Regions from separate parts of the Mus musculus genome. Here all the other regions are reported to be linked to region 1. Evidence: microRNA targets listed by miRTarBase, many of them from high-throughput screens and not tested one by one. Region 1 holds a microRNA gene; each other region holds the end of a gene's coding sequence.
Evidence for each region. Region 1 holds the annotated microRNA mmu-miR-3082-5p (GACAGAGUGUGUGUGUCUGUGU, at 2,494-2,515, opposite strand). A microRNA usually pairs through its seed, bases 2 to 8, with sites in the 3' UTR of a target mRNA and lowers its output. Matches are read on the target gene's strand: a 7mer-m8 pairs with bases 2 to 8, a 7mer-A1 pairs with bases 2 to 7 and ends in A, and an 8mer does both.

Region 2: miRTarBase lists Stx17 as a target of mmu-miR-3082-5p. Seed matches in the 3' UTR shown: 7mer-A1 at 2,542-2,548 and 7mer-A1 at 2,578-2,584.
Region 3: miRTarBase lists Gask1b as a target of mmu-miR-3082-5p. Seed matches in the 3' UTR shown: 7mer-A1 at 2,433-2,439 and 8mer at 2,402-2,409.

Annotation. Positions count from the first base shown.
Region 1 is chr17:25,828,913-25,833,070 of GRCm38, forward strand. Mir3082 (microRNA 3082) reads right to left here and starts at 2,516; the gene lies at 2,453-2,516. Jmjd8 (jumonji domain containing 8) reads left to right here and starts at 131. Exons shown (of 9, transcript NM_028101.5): 1 at 131-251; 2 at 328-426; 3 at 572-620; 4 at 694-790; 5 at 873-941; 6 at 1,030-1,149; 7 at 1,227-1,294; 8 at 1,388-1,522; 9 at 1,598-2,931. The coding sequence starts at 160. The coding sequence ends at 1,678. It overlaps Stub1 (STIP1 homology and U-Box containing protein 1), which reads right to left and starts at 4,007. Exons shown (of 7, transcript NM_019719.4): 1 at 3,780-4,007; 2 at 3,134-3,332; 3 at 2,884-3,049; 4 at 2,632-2,719; 5 at 2,397-2,453; 6 at 2,190-2,306; 7 at 1,722-2,098. The coding sequence starts at 3,941. The coding sequence ends at 1,973.
Region 2 is chr4:48,180,830-48,184,987 of GRCm38, forward strand. Stx17 (syntaxin 17) reads left to right here. Exons shown (of 8, transcript NM_026343.2): 8 at 670-4,158. The coding sequence ends at 909. Among named protein-coding and RNA genes, the nearest start is that of Mir1958, 30 kb to the right of the region's middle.
Region 3 is chr3:79,940,916-79,945,073 of GRCm38, reverse strand. It overlaps Gask1b (golgi associated kinase 1B), which reads right to left. Exons shown (of 4, transcript NM_133187.3): 4 at 1-3,779. The coding sequence ends at 3,572. Among named protein-coding and RNA genes, the nearest start is that of Gm36569, 56 kb to the right of the region's middle.

The DNA.
Region 1 (4,158 bases):
TGTGTACAATGCGCTTGTATGAAGAAGGAGGAGACTTCCAAGGCCGGCTGGCTACTGCTTGCAGGTAGCTACAGCAGTCCGGATGATAAGCCAATGGCTTGTGGTTACGCAAGTGTCGACAGAATTCCCAGCGTGCTGCGCGCCTGCACCCGTATGTTCATGGCGGCGGCTGGGCGGCGCGGTCTGCTTTTGCTCTTTGTACTATGGATGATGGTGACTGTGATTCTGCCTGCCTCTGGCGAAGGGGGATGGTGAGCCATAGGAAATGGGTGGCGGGAGGGAGCCTGAACTTAAAGCTTTGACTGGCCTGACCTGTTGTCCCTGCAGGAAACAGAATGGGCTGGGAATTGCAGCAGCAGTAATGGAGGAGGAGCGTTGCACAGTGGAGCGTCGGGCACACATCACGTACTCCGAATTCATGCAGCAGTATGTGTGCCTGCCCCAAGTCTCAGCATGATTCTAGGCATACTACCAATCATGGTCTTTGGCTGCGGAGGTCTCACTGCCTGGTGTGTAGGAGAGGCCCCTGCAGAGTTCAAACTCAGTGCAACATTCTCCTCTTTCCCCCCAGCTATGCCTTCCTCAAGCCCGTCATCTTGCAAGGACTCACGGACAACTCGGTGAGTATTCGTACCCTGTGGGCAACTGCTTCTGTTTGGCCAAGTGCTCAGTTACCTTATCCTTCATCCCCAGAAGTTCCGGGCCCTGTGTTCCCGGGAAAACCTGCTAGCCTCGTTCGGGGACAACATTGTTCGCTTGAGTACAGCCAACACCTACTCCTACCAGAAAGGTGAGCTACACACCCTGCAAGGTTTGCCTTCACATCTCAAAGGCAGAACTGACCAGTCCCGACTGGCTCCCCCTTCTTGTAGTGGACCTGCCCTTCCAGGAATATGTGGAACAGCTGCTGCAGCCCCAGGATCCTGCATCCCTAGGCAATGGTGAGCCAGACCCAGGCAGCGGTGGGAGTGGGGTACTTGGGAGCCCACTGTTGCCAGTACTCCTGCCTATCACCCTCTCTGCTGGCAGACACCCTGTACTTTTTTGGAGACAACAACTTCACTGAGTGGGCATCCCTCTTCCAGCACTACTCTCCGCCACCATTCCGTCTCCTGGGAACCACCCCTGCTTACAGCTTTGGAATTGCAGGTAGGGGCTACTTCAAAACAAACTTGGGGGAGCCCATATATATTTTGTTCATCAGCTATTCATAACTGACCCCACAGGAGCTGGATCTGGGGTACCCTTCCACTGGCATGGGCCTGGTTTCTCAGAGGTTATCTATGGTCGGAAGGTCAGTACAGTGTTATGTGTGTGTTATGTGTGTGTGTAAATCTGGTGTCTATAGTCCATTGCACACATAGTGACCTTACACTCCTGCCTCCAGCGCTGGTTCCTCTACCCTCCTGAGAAGACACCTGAGTTCCACCCTAACAAGACCACATTGGCCTGGCTGCTGGAAATATACCCATCTCTAGCCCTGTCAGCACGGCCTCTAGAATGTACCATCCAGGCTGGTGAAGTCAGTAGCTGGTAGGTGGGGGTTGGGCTAACTCAAAAAGCCATGAATCAAAATTTTTTTTTTCTTTTCTCCCAGGTACTGTATTTTCCTGATCGGTGGTGGCATGCCACACTCAATCTGGACACCAGTGTCTTCATTTCTACCTTCCTTGGCTAGCCAGACAGGCAACTGGCAAGCCCACTGCACCAGCACATGCCAATGTAGTGCTCACAGACTTTATTACAGGACAGTGGCAGCAGCAGCAACCTCAGCCCACCCTCACCCACTCTCCAGCCCAGAAGGGGGACAAGGGAGGCTCATGGTCCAGCAAGGGGTATGCTGAGAAGGGGAGCAGTTCAGAACCCATCAGCAGGGCCGATGGGGGCAGGCCCAGGGACACAAACTATACAGGGACTGGAGCTTCCGTCTCCAGATCCTCCTGGGCCAGGGTGCCAGGCAGGACATGGGGCCTCAATAGTCCTCTACCCAGCCGTTCTCAGAGATGAAAGCGTCAATGACTTCCTTCATGGCCAAGTTGGGGATGAGCTGTTCCTGGGTCAGAGGGCTCCGGGTCACAGGGTCAAAGTGGCCCACACGCTGCAACAGAGTCAAGAGTGTTCAATGGCCTGAGTATACCGATCCGGGTACCAAGGCTCTCCATGGCCCGGTCTCCATGGGCCCTCCTTACCTGCAGGTGCTCCTCAATGTCCTTGCGGTCATAGGTGATACCACTGGGTGTAATGCAGGGTTCCCGCATCAGCTCAAAGCTAATCTTGCCACACAAGTAGTCAGGGATATCTCGCTTCTATAGCACAAGGGGAAAATGTCTAGAACTGGAGGGGGCTGTGGGGGTCACCATACCAGCAGCAGCCGATGAGCTTCCGGGGGTCCTCACCTTTCTTTTCTCGTCCACCTGAGAGAAGAGCTCATCCATATCTGCCATGTATTTATCCTGCAGAGTTGAGTGCCATGTGTGGGCAACTCCTGTCTCCACACAGACACACACACTCTGTCCACCAGGGCACTCATGTCATGCATGGGCCAACAGATCCACCAAAGGCTGGGGCACTTTTCATGCCACACACAAACACACACACAATGACCCACATGTGGACTAGGGGCACCCTCACGTGCTTGGCCTCAATGCAGGCCTGCTGGGCCCGGATGTGGCCATCATCTTCATGACCCTCGTGGTTCCGCTGACACTCCTCCAGTTCCCTGAGGGTTAACCAGAAGCTAGTTGGTGATGGCCCTGACCAGGAAATCACAGAGCCCGCCCCATCTCAGGCCTCTTTCCTCCTGGGCTTCCCATGTACCGGTTGTTGTCCTTCAATAAAAACACTTGTGCTGGTGACTCAGTGTCTGCTGGGGGAGGGACCCACCTCTCTCGCTCAGCAGCAATGAGCCTGGTGAGATATGAATGCAGCTCACTCTCCTGGTGGATGCGCCGTTCCTCGATACTGTTCCAGCGCTTCTTCTTAGCAATGCGAAGGGCACTAGGAATATCATCCCCAAAGTTGAGTCGCTGCTCCTTGGCCAAACTATAGGCTAGGGGAGTGGACACTTTTGGTTACACTTGTCAACAATCCTGGTCCCCCAAGGTGCCCTCAACCTTGCATCTTGTCAGCCCACCTCGCTGCAGATTGGCAATGGCCTCATCATAACTCTCCATCTCCAGCTGGCACTGCCCCAGGAAGAAGTGCGCCTTCACAGACTGCCCGTCCAGCTCCAGGGCTCGCCGGCAGTCAGCAAGTGCCTGTTCAGGCTGCTGCATCTTCAGATAGCACAGGGCCCGGTTAGTGTAGTACACTGCCACAAGTGGGTTCCGAGTCTGGGGACCAAGACCAGGCGTCAAAGAGTGTGGGCTCAGTTGATCCCCTCTCATTTAGCAAGCTGAAAGCCAATGATCTGGTCAATGCTCCAGCTTTGGGGGCCCATGGCTGGAATAGAGGAACTGGAGATTTCCGAATTATCAAGAGCTCTGGATTCTGGCCATGCTTTCTTGCCTCCAACTGCTTTTGAGAGAAATCCCACAACCCCTCTACAAGCTCTGGGCTTGGAAATCTCAAGGGGCAAGAGCTCCTGGTGTCATCCTTAGTCTTACTTAATCAAGCATCCCGCCCGCCAGTTCCCAGTCAAATCAGCCCTAGACTCGGGAACAGCAATCCGGGCACCAGGGGAGCGAGCGAGCCATCGAGTCCAGGCTGCCAGAAACCCTGTCCGGGATCACAAAACTGGGAGGCACATCGGGCCCCGCCCCCGCCCCTCCCGCACTCACGATGGCGCGGCCGTAGCAGGCCGCCGCCTCCGGGTACTTGCGGCCCACGAAGAGCCGGTTTCCCTGCTCCTTGAGCTCTTGCGCACTCGGGCTCTTATCAGGGCTGCCGCCGCCACCAGTGCCCAGCCGCGCGCCGCCCTCCTTTTCCTCCTTGCCCTTCATGGCGCCGCGCGGCACGGCTTGGGCTCCGCGCCCGGCCACCTAGATCTCGCAGCCCGCGCAGCGATCAGCTCCGCCCGGTCGGCGATCCGCCACCGGAACTTCCGGTGTGGGGCGGAGCTGGCATGGGGACACGTGAGCAAAGGCGGAGCCTCGTGGATTGAGCCAGTTCCCTTAGCTCTGAGAAGCTTCCGCCGCGCTCTACAGGCCCCGCCCTACA
Region 2 (4,158 bases), not on the chromosome of region 1:
CTGCTCTCTTCAGTGTTGAGGGAACCAGCAATTAAGGAAATAAGGAAGAAATGACACATAGGTAGTGTAAGAAATCAATGGCTGTAATATTTTACTCCCAGATTCATTCTATCATGAGAGAATTTTTTTCTCAAAAGAGAGTGAACTGTGGCTTCACTCTGGGGGATTTAGTTGTCTGAAGGAATATCTGCAGTGGCCTAGGGAGAAGAGAGAGCAGTCCATTAATCCAGGCAGAAGCAAAGCCCGAGCCTGCTGCAGCACTGGAGGAGTGGGAGCGTCTATTATCCATCTGATGGGACTCTCAGCCCAGGTGCCCACTGTGGAGCAGCCTCTGTGCTGAGCCACAGCTTTGCTGGGAGCCAGTGGCTGCTGGAGGAGCTGTTTAAACAAGCCAGCCAGATAGAGGATTGAGTAGTTTGCATGTAAAATCATTTTGTATAGTCCAATCTGGAGCACACCTCCTGCCTCCTTCAGGTCTGTGGTCTGGAGCAATGGCAGTACCTGTGGAATACATTCACACACACACCCCTCCAAGAATAATCTCTGAGGTTAATTATGAACGTAGAGTTAAAGAGGCATTGCCAGGAGTAATGAGAGGAAAACGCACATCACCACAGGCAGATTTTTCTCAACTCAATTTCTAAATTGAATCTTTTTTTTTTTTTACAGGCTGCAAAATACAAGCTGGCAGCTCTGCCTGTGGCAGGTGCACTCATCGGAGGAGTGGTAGGGGGTCCCATCGGCCTCCTCGCAGGCTTCAAAGTGGCAGGAATTGCAGCTGCACTTGGTGGTGGGGTGTTAGGCTTCACAGGTGGAAAATTGATACAAAGAAGGAAACAGAAAATGATGGAGAAGCTCACTTCCAGCTGTCCAGATCTCCCTAGCCAAAGTGACAAAAAACGCAGTTAAAGCCCAAGCTTCCAGCTGCTGCTGTGCACCGAGCTAAGGAGCAGTTGCTGTTGCTGGAAGTGTTAGGAAGTGGCTCTCCCTGTCCATGCAGTGTTGAACCACCATGAGTGGATGTGTTTGTTAGCTGGGTGTTAATGGAGATTTTAGAGGTGGAGGAGCCTGGCCAGAGGGTGTCTGTCAGGTCAAGTTTAAAGACTGCCAAAGAGCAAAGGTTAGGCCTGGAAATGTGAAAACTGGATCCATAACTAAGGATCTAAGAAGTGTAGACATGTAGTGGACACCTGAGGTCAGTGTATTTGTCAATTATTTCTTCCTATAGGGAGGAACAGAATTCGAGTTCAGGAGTCTCTGTCAGGTAGGGATGTTGCCGCTCAACAGGGGGCACGGGTGAACTACTTGTGGACTTGAGGGCTGTTGTACTTAGACCCATCTGTATTTTCTGGGGAAGGAAATTAACACTATAAAATAGAAAGAGAAGCCCATTTTCTCTTTACAGTTTCTTCATTGTGACATGGGTGTTTTTTCTGAAGTCTTTCCTGCCTCTCCAGATAAGGAGCACAAAACCTCAATGCTAGACCTACTAAACCAGCCACCAAGCCCATTTCCAGCTGGTGATTCAGATAACTGTCTATTCTACTCTTCTGATTCCTACCCATGTTATAAGGATTTTCCTCATAATCTGCCTTTTTATATAGTTTTCCACTTCTAGCTACCCCTACCTGTAATCTCTACAATCTCTTTAGTTGAAAAAAGAAAATTTAAATATTTCCAACGTTATTTAGGTTAAGGGGAGTGAGTACAAGATCATATCACAGGGCACTTTAGAAGGGGCTGGCATACCTGCTGCCTCCAGGGATTGCCGCCCCTCAGTCTTCTTGGGCGTCCAAGAAGGAGCTTTCTACCTCACATCTGTCACTGCTGCCCTTTCCCAGGCCGTCTCCCCTCCTGCCGCTGTCCTCGCAGTGGTCACGCTTAACCTCTCTCACATTCTAGATGGGAAAACTCATGATTCAGACCCAAGGAAAGATCTGTGGTGCTAACCCAACAGTTGGCATGCACAGCAGGCATGTCCACTTCAACTCCGTGTCTCTCTCAAAACAGAAAGGTTTGAGATTCAGAAGAAAGGAATAGGAAGAAGCCACTGGTCCCGCAACTCTCATCTCTTCCTGAGAAGAGTGCACCAGCAGCCAGAGCACAGGGTCAGGGGCCGAAGGGTTACCTCTTAGCTTCTTTTAAGTGCTGAGTTGATGTTTGGCCTCTGTGGGTTGCTACCTTTCCCTCTGTGTTATAACTTCCTTCCTTCCCTTCAATGCTTTGTGAGTCTTACCAGTGCATCCCTATGAAACAAAGAACTACACCGTATTAAAAGATCGGAAAGTATTGAGTATTTATTTCTTATCCGCTGTCTTAAGACTTTAATAACAAACAAAATTTGAATAATTTTCGGATCCTGAAATATTGCCAAACACACTGGGCATTAAGTAATTACTTTTATTGTCATCCTTTGTTCTCTGGTTCTTGCTGCTCCTTTAAGATAGCATGTCAAACCTGAGCAGGGGGCATTCAGAATGCATCCAGATTTTACTTCAAATAAGATTCCTTTTTGTTTTGTTTTATTTTTCAAGATGTTTTCTCTGTATAGTCCTGACCTAGCTGTCCTGGAACTCTCTCTGTAGACCAGGCTGGCCTTGAACTCAGAGATCCATCTGTCTCTGCCTCCGGAGTGCTGGGATTAAAGGTGTGTTGCCATACCCAGCTAAAACAAGATTCTTGAACTTTGGCCCCGGGGAAATTCCGATACAGCCAGTCCATCCTGATTAGCTAGTATTGTGAGGATAAGAAGTGTTGTTTAATTCTTTAGTCTCCCATGGTCTACTTCATCTTCCTCATTACTTAATACTCAATTCCATGAATCCCCAAAGTGCCATCAGTAAGTGCCATAACAGCCTCAGCACATGGAAGCCAAAGAAACAGGGCTGAGGCTTGGATATGAAGCTCGCACCCTTGGGACCGCGCATCTTCGCTGAGCCAGTGTGGGAATGTGGGAACCATCGGCATGTTAATGAACCATCAGTATTGGGCTTTTGACTCTAGCCACCGTAATGGTTAAGGAAGTTACAGTCCTCTTTAAAATTTCATTATACTTTAAAGTTATTGAGAAATTGTTTTTCATTTCTCCACAATAGAATCCAATAGCCAACTTTTTGTGGAAATTTCTTAGAAGTGTTTAATCAACTATAAATGATATAAAAGTACTTAAACGTATAAATTAGTCAATATGACACAGAAATGATCTTAAAATTGAATTTAATATGCCCCATAGTGTCTAGTTAAATTTATCATCTCTATGATTTATGTCTTATTTTTATTTCAACTAGTTAAAAAGAATCATTTTAATGTCTTAAAATTTGTAGAGACTTCATATTAGTATAGGCAGTCCCCCTAAAGACTTTTTGATGTTATAATCTGATAATTCCTCTGAAATTTTGATGTAGCCCACAGTAAAAAACGTATTAGGATTGAACGTGTATCCATGAAAAATGTTTACCATTGTGTGCAGTACATTCTGATGTTCTGTTTCTTCAACATGCTAACTTCAACCCACAAAACCAGTCTCAGTCTACAAATGGATTACCACCCTCAGTTTTCAGAAAACACCCTTCCCTAAGGAAGAACTGGTGTTTCCCAAGCAGTTTGCCAGTTATTTATGGAAAGGGTAACCGGGCCTCAGAGGAATTAAGTAATTTGCAGTCTTTCCATTCATTCCAAGGGCAGGAAGCCTGGATGGAATGGGTTCTGCTGAGCCACACTCTGCCATGCTGTGCTGCCTCCCTGAAGCTCAGAGACTTGTAAGGCCAGCAGGGGACAACCCATGCTGTCCGTTTACTTCTTTGTCTTCTGGCCTCATCGGGTGTCCACAGCCTGTTCTTAATTGTGGCCATGCATAGAACACAGAGCTTAAGTATAAAATGAACACTGCTATCCCACCCTATCCTCTACACATTGGTTCATATCATAGGCTATGATCACTGTTCAAAATGTTTTATATAATTAAAAGTAAACACTACTTTTAAACAAATCTCTCATAGCATTTAGAATCAATTAATCATTATGCTTTAAATGATGCCCCCGGGAAGCCAGGCACAAACGGTGGGGGGCAGGCAATAGCCTATTTCTGAACATCTGCTTTTGGATTGCCATCAAAAACAAAATTGCATGTTAAATAAGAAAAGCCACATCCAGTGTGTC
Region 3 (4,158 bases), not on the chromosome of region 1:
GGAAAGCTAACTAAAAATTAAATCTCCTCCTAAGAGGAATGAAATCTGCTAGCTAATTATTTTGCCAACCCTATAGTACGATGCTATATGTACACGGAGAGAAAGCATAGTGATCATGAATTATGACATCAAATTCGTGCACACATGCCTGCACACACGACCCAGGCAGGCATCTTGACTTCTAAATTGCCTCTTTTTTTCCACTGGTGAAGTAACAAACAAACATCCTTTTGAAGTTCATTGTTTATTCCGTTTTCCAGTTTAAACAGAATATTTGGTCATAAAAACAAAGACTAAAGTCTGTCTAAAGCAGAGACAGACTGGAGTGGACTGTTCCAAAGGGGAGGGGCACTGTATTCTCTTTTGAAAACTAACTCGTGTATCAGAAAAAATTACACGAATTTAATTTGTAGCATTTAATGACAGGGTCTGAGACACATGTGTGTTTTCACATCAGCTAACAGGAAGCAGGTCACACCAGAATAAGCCCTTATCTTCTATTTACATCTGTTAGAGCAAATAAGCCATGTAATGGGATATTCTATACCAAATCACAGTAGGTTTTCTTTAGCACATCGGAAATACAAAAACACTCTCATCGTTTCAATAAAAGAAAAATGTTGCTTGTTAGAAATCAGAGTTTGGCCTGAAGTTATTAGTCAAAACTAATGCACCATCAATTACTCACTGTTTGCAAAACAAAATAAATCATTTTAAAAATGAATGTAAAGGCTGGGGAGATGCCCAGCTGTTGAGAGCATGCACTGCTCTTCCAGAGGACCTTAGTTGAGTTCCAAGACCCCAAGTCAGGTAGCTCACAATTGCTTCAGAGGTTCCGATGCCCTTCTTCTGGCTTCCATGAGTACTGCATACACATGTGTGTGTATACCTATGTATACACACAAATAAACAGTAAAAATAAATCTTTAAAACAAAAGTTATAAAAATAAGCAATGTCCTCGAACCTTTTGCTTAGAATTAAGCATGTTGAAATAACTAGGCAAAAACCCATCTGGGTCAGACCCATCTTGGGGAGGCCAGCTTGCTCAGAAGCATCCTAACTGAGAGCATAAAAGCAAGATTTTTAAAAAGCCAGAATGCCTGTAATTAATATCACAATGTGAATTAAAATGGTAAATTCTGCAAAAACAAAAAAGTATTAAGATAAATGTGTAGGTCGTCTTGATAAGGCATGAGACAACTTGGCAGAAATCTTTTAATTCAAGGTCAAGTGGGGGTGTAAAAGTGCTCACAAAGATAATTAAGATGATTTGTGAGACAAAACTCATAGAGAGCAGCCATTGTGGGGACTCACCAGAGCCCACAGTCATACTCAGGTCACACTGGAGAGAACTGCAGAGAACGCGACAAAGTTCACCACGCCAAGGGAAAGGAAACATATAGGATGGAAGATGCAGTCCTTGGTCATGAGCCTTGGAAAGCAGAAACAAGAGGCATCAGTGGGTGCCTCTTCCCTTCGTCTGTCTTCTCTTATACCTAACACTTAGACTTACTAGTTTGACAAGTTGGTGTATTTGTATCAATTATAATCTACACAGGTATTTTTTCCTATGATGTAGCCTATATTGGTATGTTTTTAAAAGTTCACATCAATATCAAATTATTTTTCATCAGAAGACGGAAGATGTGTGCATTAAGAACAAAACTGAAAACAAGGAGATGAGAAGTATGATAAAAATGTGTAACTTTTTATTTTAGTTTTTTTAAGTTTCCAAAAGAAGAAAAAGTCAGTAAATCAGTTTTTATGAAGGGAGAGGCACATTTCAGACAGGTTATCACTAACACCAGACTGACATCAGACTTGCAAACCGTCCACGGCTTCCTGGGTGCTAGGATTTCAGGTCTGTATCACTACACCTGGCTAATCAATGACCTTGCAAATAAGCGGTAGTAGAGCTGAAAGCAAGAGAGACAGAATTTGCTCTAGATTCAAAGGTTCCGTATAAGAAGGATAAGTGATGGCCTGGCAAATTCTCTCAGGACAGAAAGACTCAGAGCATGAACTTTGTGTGCCTTAGTTCCTCCAAGCCCACGAAAGGTTTGGTAGAGGGATTTGGGGGAGAATTAGTTGAGACTTAATTTTGCCTAATTAGTTGCCATATGCTCTCTATCCATGTTCTTTGTGAGAAGATGCAGTCATGAGTGTTGGCTTTCATTAGGACTTCTTGTATTGAGCTGATCTACATAATATATTTAATATCTGAACTTATCGTCAATACCTAGATAATATCAGTTAAATCAGATGAAACCTAATTGCACCAAGGAAGTCCTCTATGATTAAAAAAAAATACTTCAGCCAGGCAGTGGTGGCGCATGCCTTTAAACCCAGCACTTGGGAGGCAGAGGCAGGCGGATTTCTGAGTTCAAGGTCAGCCTGGTCTACAGAGTGAGTTCTAGGACAGCCAAGGCTATACAGAGAAACCCTGACTCGAAAAACAAAAAACAAAAACAAAAACAAAAAAGAAAACTTCAGAAATTACAGTATATCCTTTATAAAATGACAAATTGTTACATATTCATTAAAAGTGGGCTGGGGTTATGGGCTTAGTCATACAGTGTCTCTCTAACATGACAGAGACCCAGCTTGATCCTGAGTACTACGGGGCATGGTGTCATATACTGTCTGTTATCCCAACACTTGGGTGGCAAAGCATCAGAAGACCAAGGTCATCCTCTGATGCGTAAGGAGTTCAAAGCCAGCCTGGACTATGTGAAACCTTAACTTTTTTTTAAGCCAATCAACCAATAAGAATATTAAGGGATTCTACAAGTAAATTTTCAAACAGGTAGCAACATGCCTCATAACTTTTTAGTTTTCTAACCACAAGATATAAATTGGATCAAAATTGAGACAGCAAATCGAATACATCAATTGTCATATATGGAAATGTCTATGCTGTCAATAAATTTCTTAAAAAGGGAAGGATAGGAGAATTTTGTTGTTCAGAGGTAGCTGATTATCTTAGACTCTAGAAAATATACTGGTCGTTTGTAACGAATCTACTTCCATGTCTACTTAGAAGGTGTTTCAAGACTGTTGTACTTGCAGATCAGACGCCTCAATTTCGTGATGTAGAATTGCCTCTGGATAGTGTTGGAAAAGCTGTTGCAACCATCAGCAATGAGAGAATGCCGATCAACTCATTTCTAGCAGCTGGTCAGGTCAGTCAAATGGCATGGGAATGATTTATTAGAAGAGCCAGTGTCTCTGGTTTATATTGTTCCGTCAAATGATATGAAAATGGTTTAAACATCAGTAGGAATAATCATTTGGGTCATTACACAATGACAATGCTGAGACAAACATACCAGAGTCTTAGGAAAATATATTAACAGGCATTCTGCAAGCAATATGTTATTCTGAAACTTCTTGAATCTGCATACCTCTAAACTCTACAAACTTTTTAAACTCAGTTCATGATATAAACTGCGTCAGTTTCACGTATTCAACTATGCTGCCTCGTTTCTAGAAACACTTAAGGTTGATATCTTTTATTTAAGAAAAACCAAATGTGACACATGTATAGCCCTCAAGGCAGAAAGCCATTTGTCATTCATTCATAGGTAATACTCTAGCCCCGTGTGCGTTGATGTAGGTGATAAGGATTCTGGCTCTCCGCTCTATCACGTCGATAAGCTTCTCGATGCCTTGCCTGCCTCCTTGACTTTCCCAATAAACCTGATCAAGGAACAGAGACTGAAGGAGCTTCTGTCTTAAGTGTTGGCTCTTCAAAACAGAAACTGCAGATTCAGGAAACCTGAAACGAGAACACAACATTTCATTCTTAGAAATTGCTCAGAAATATTATTTCTCCTTCCAGTTGCTCTGCCTTCCTTAATCTCATAAGTCACACTATCAAATGAGACCTAGAAAACCAAAATGTTTTTGTCACTGACAAGCAGACACTTCTCATGAAAATAAAATACACGAAAAAATGTATTTCAAATGAACCGAATTATCTAGTCCATTCAGAACGTGACATCCTAATTTCTTACTTAAAGGTCATTAAAGATTGGCAAATAGAGGCATAGAATTAAGATCACATTAGGTCTGAAGATGTATTTCCCATCATCTTAAGCTACAGAAAGCCTTTTGTCTGCTCTCATCAGTAACAAGGTGAAGTTTGATGAAAGAAA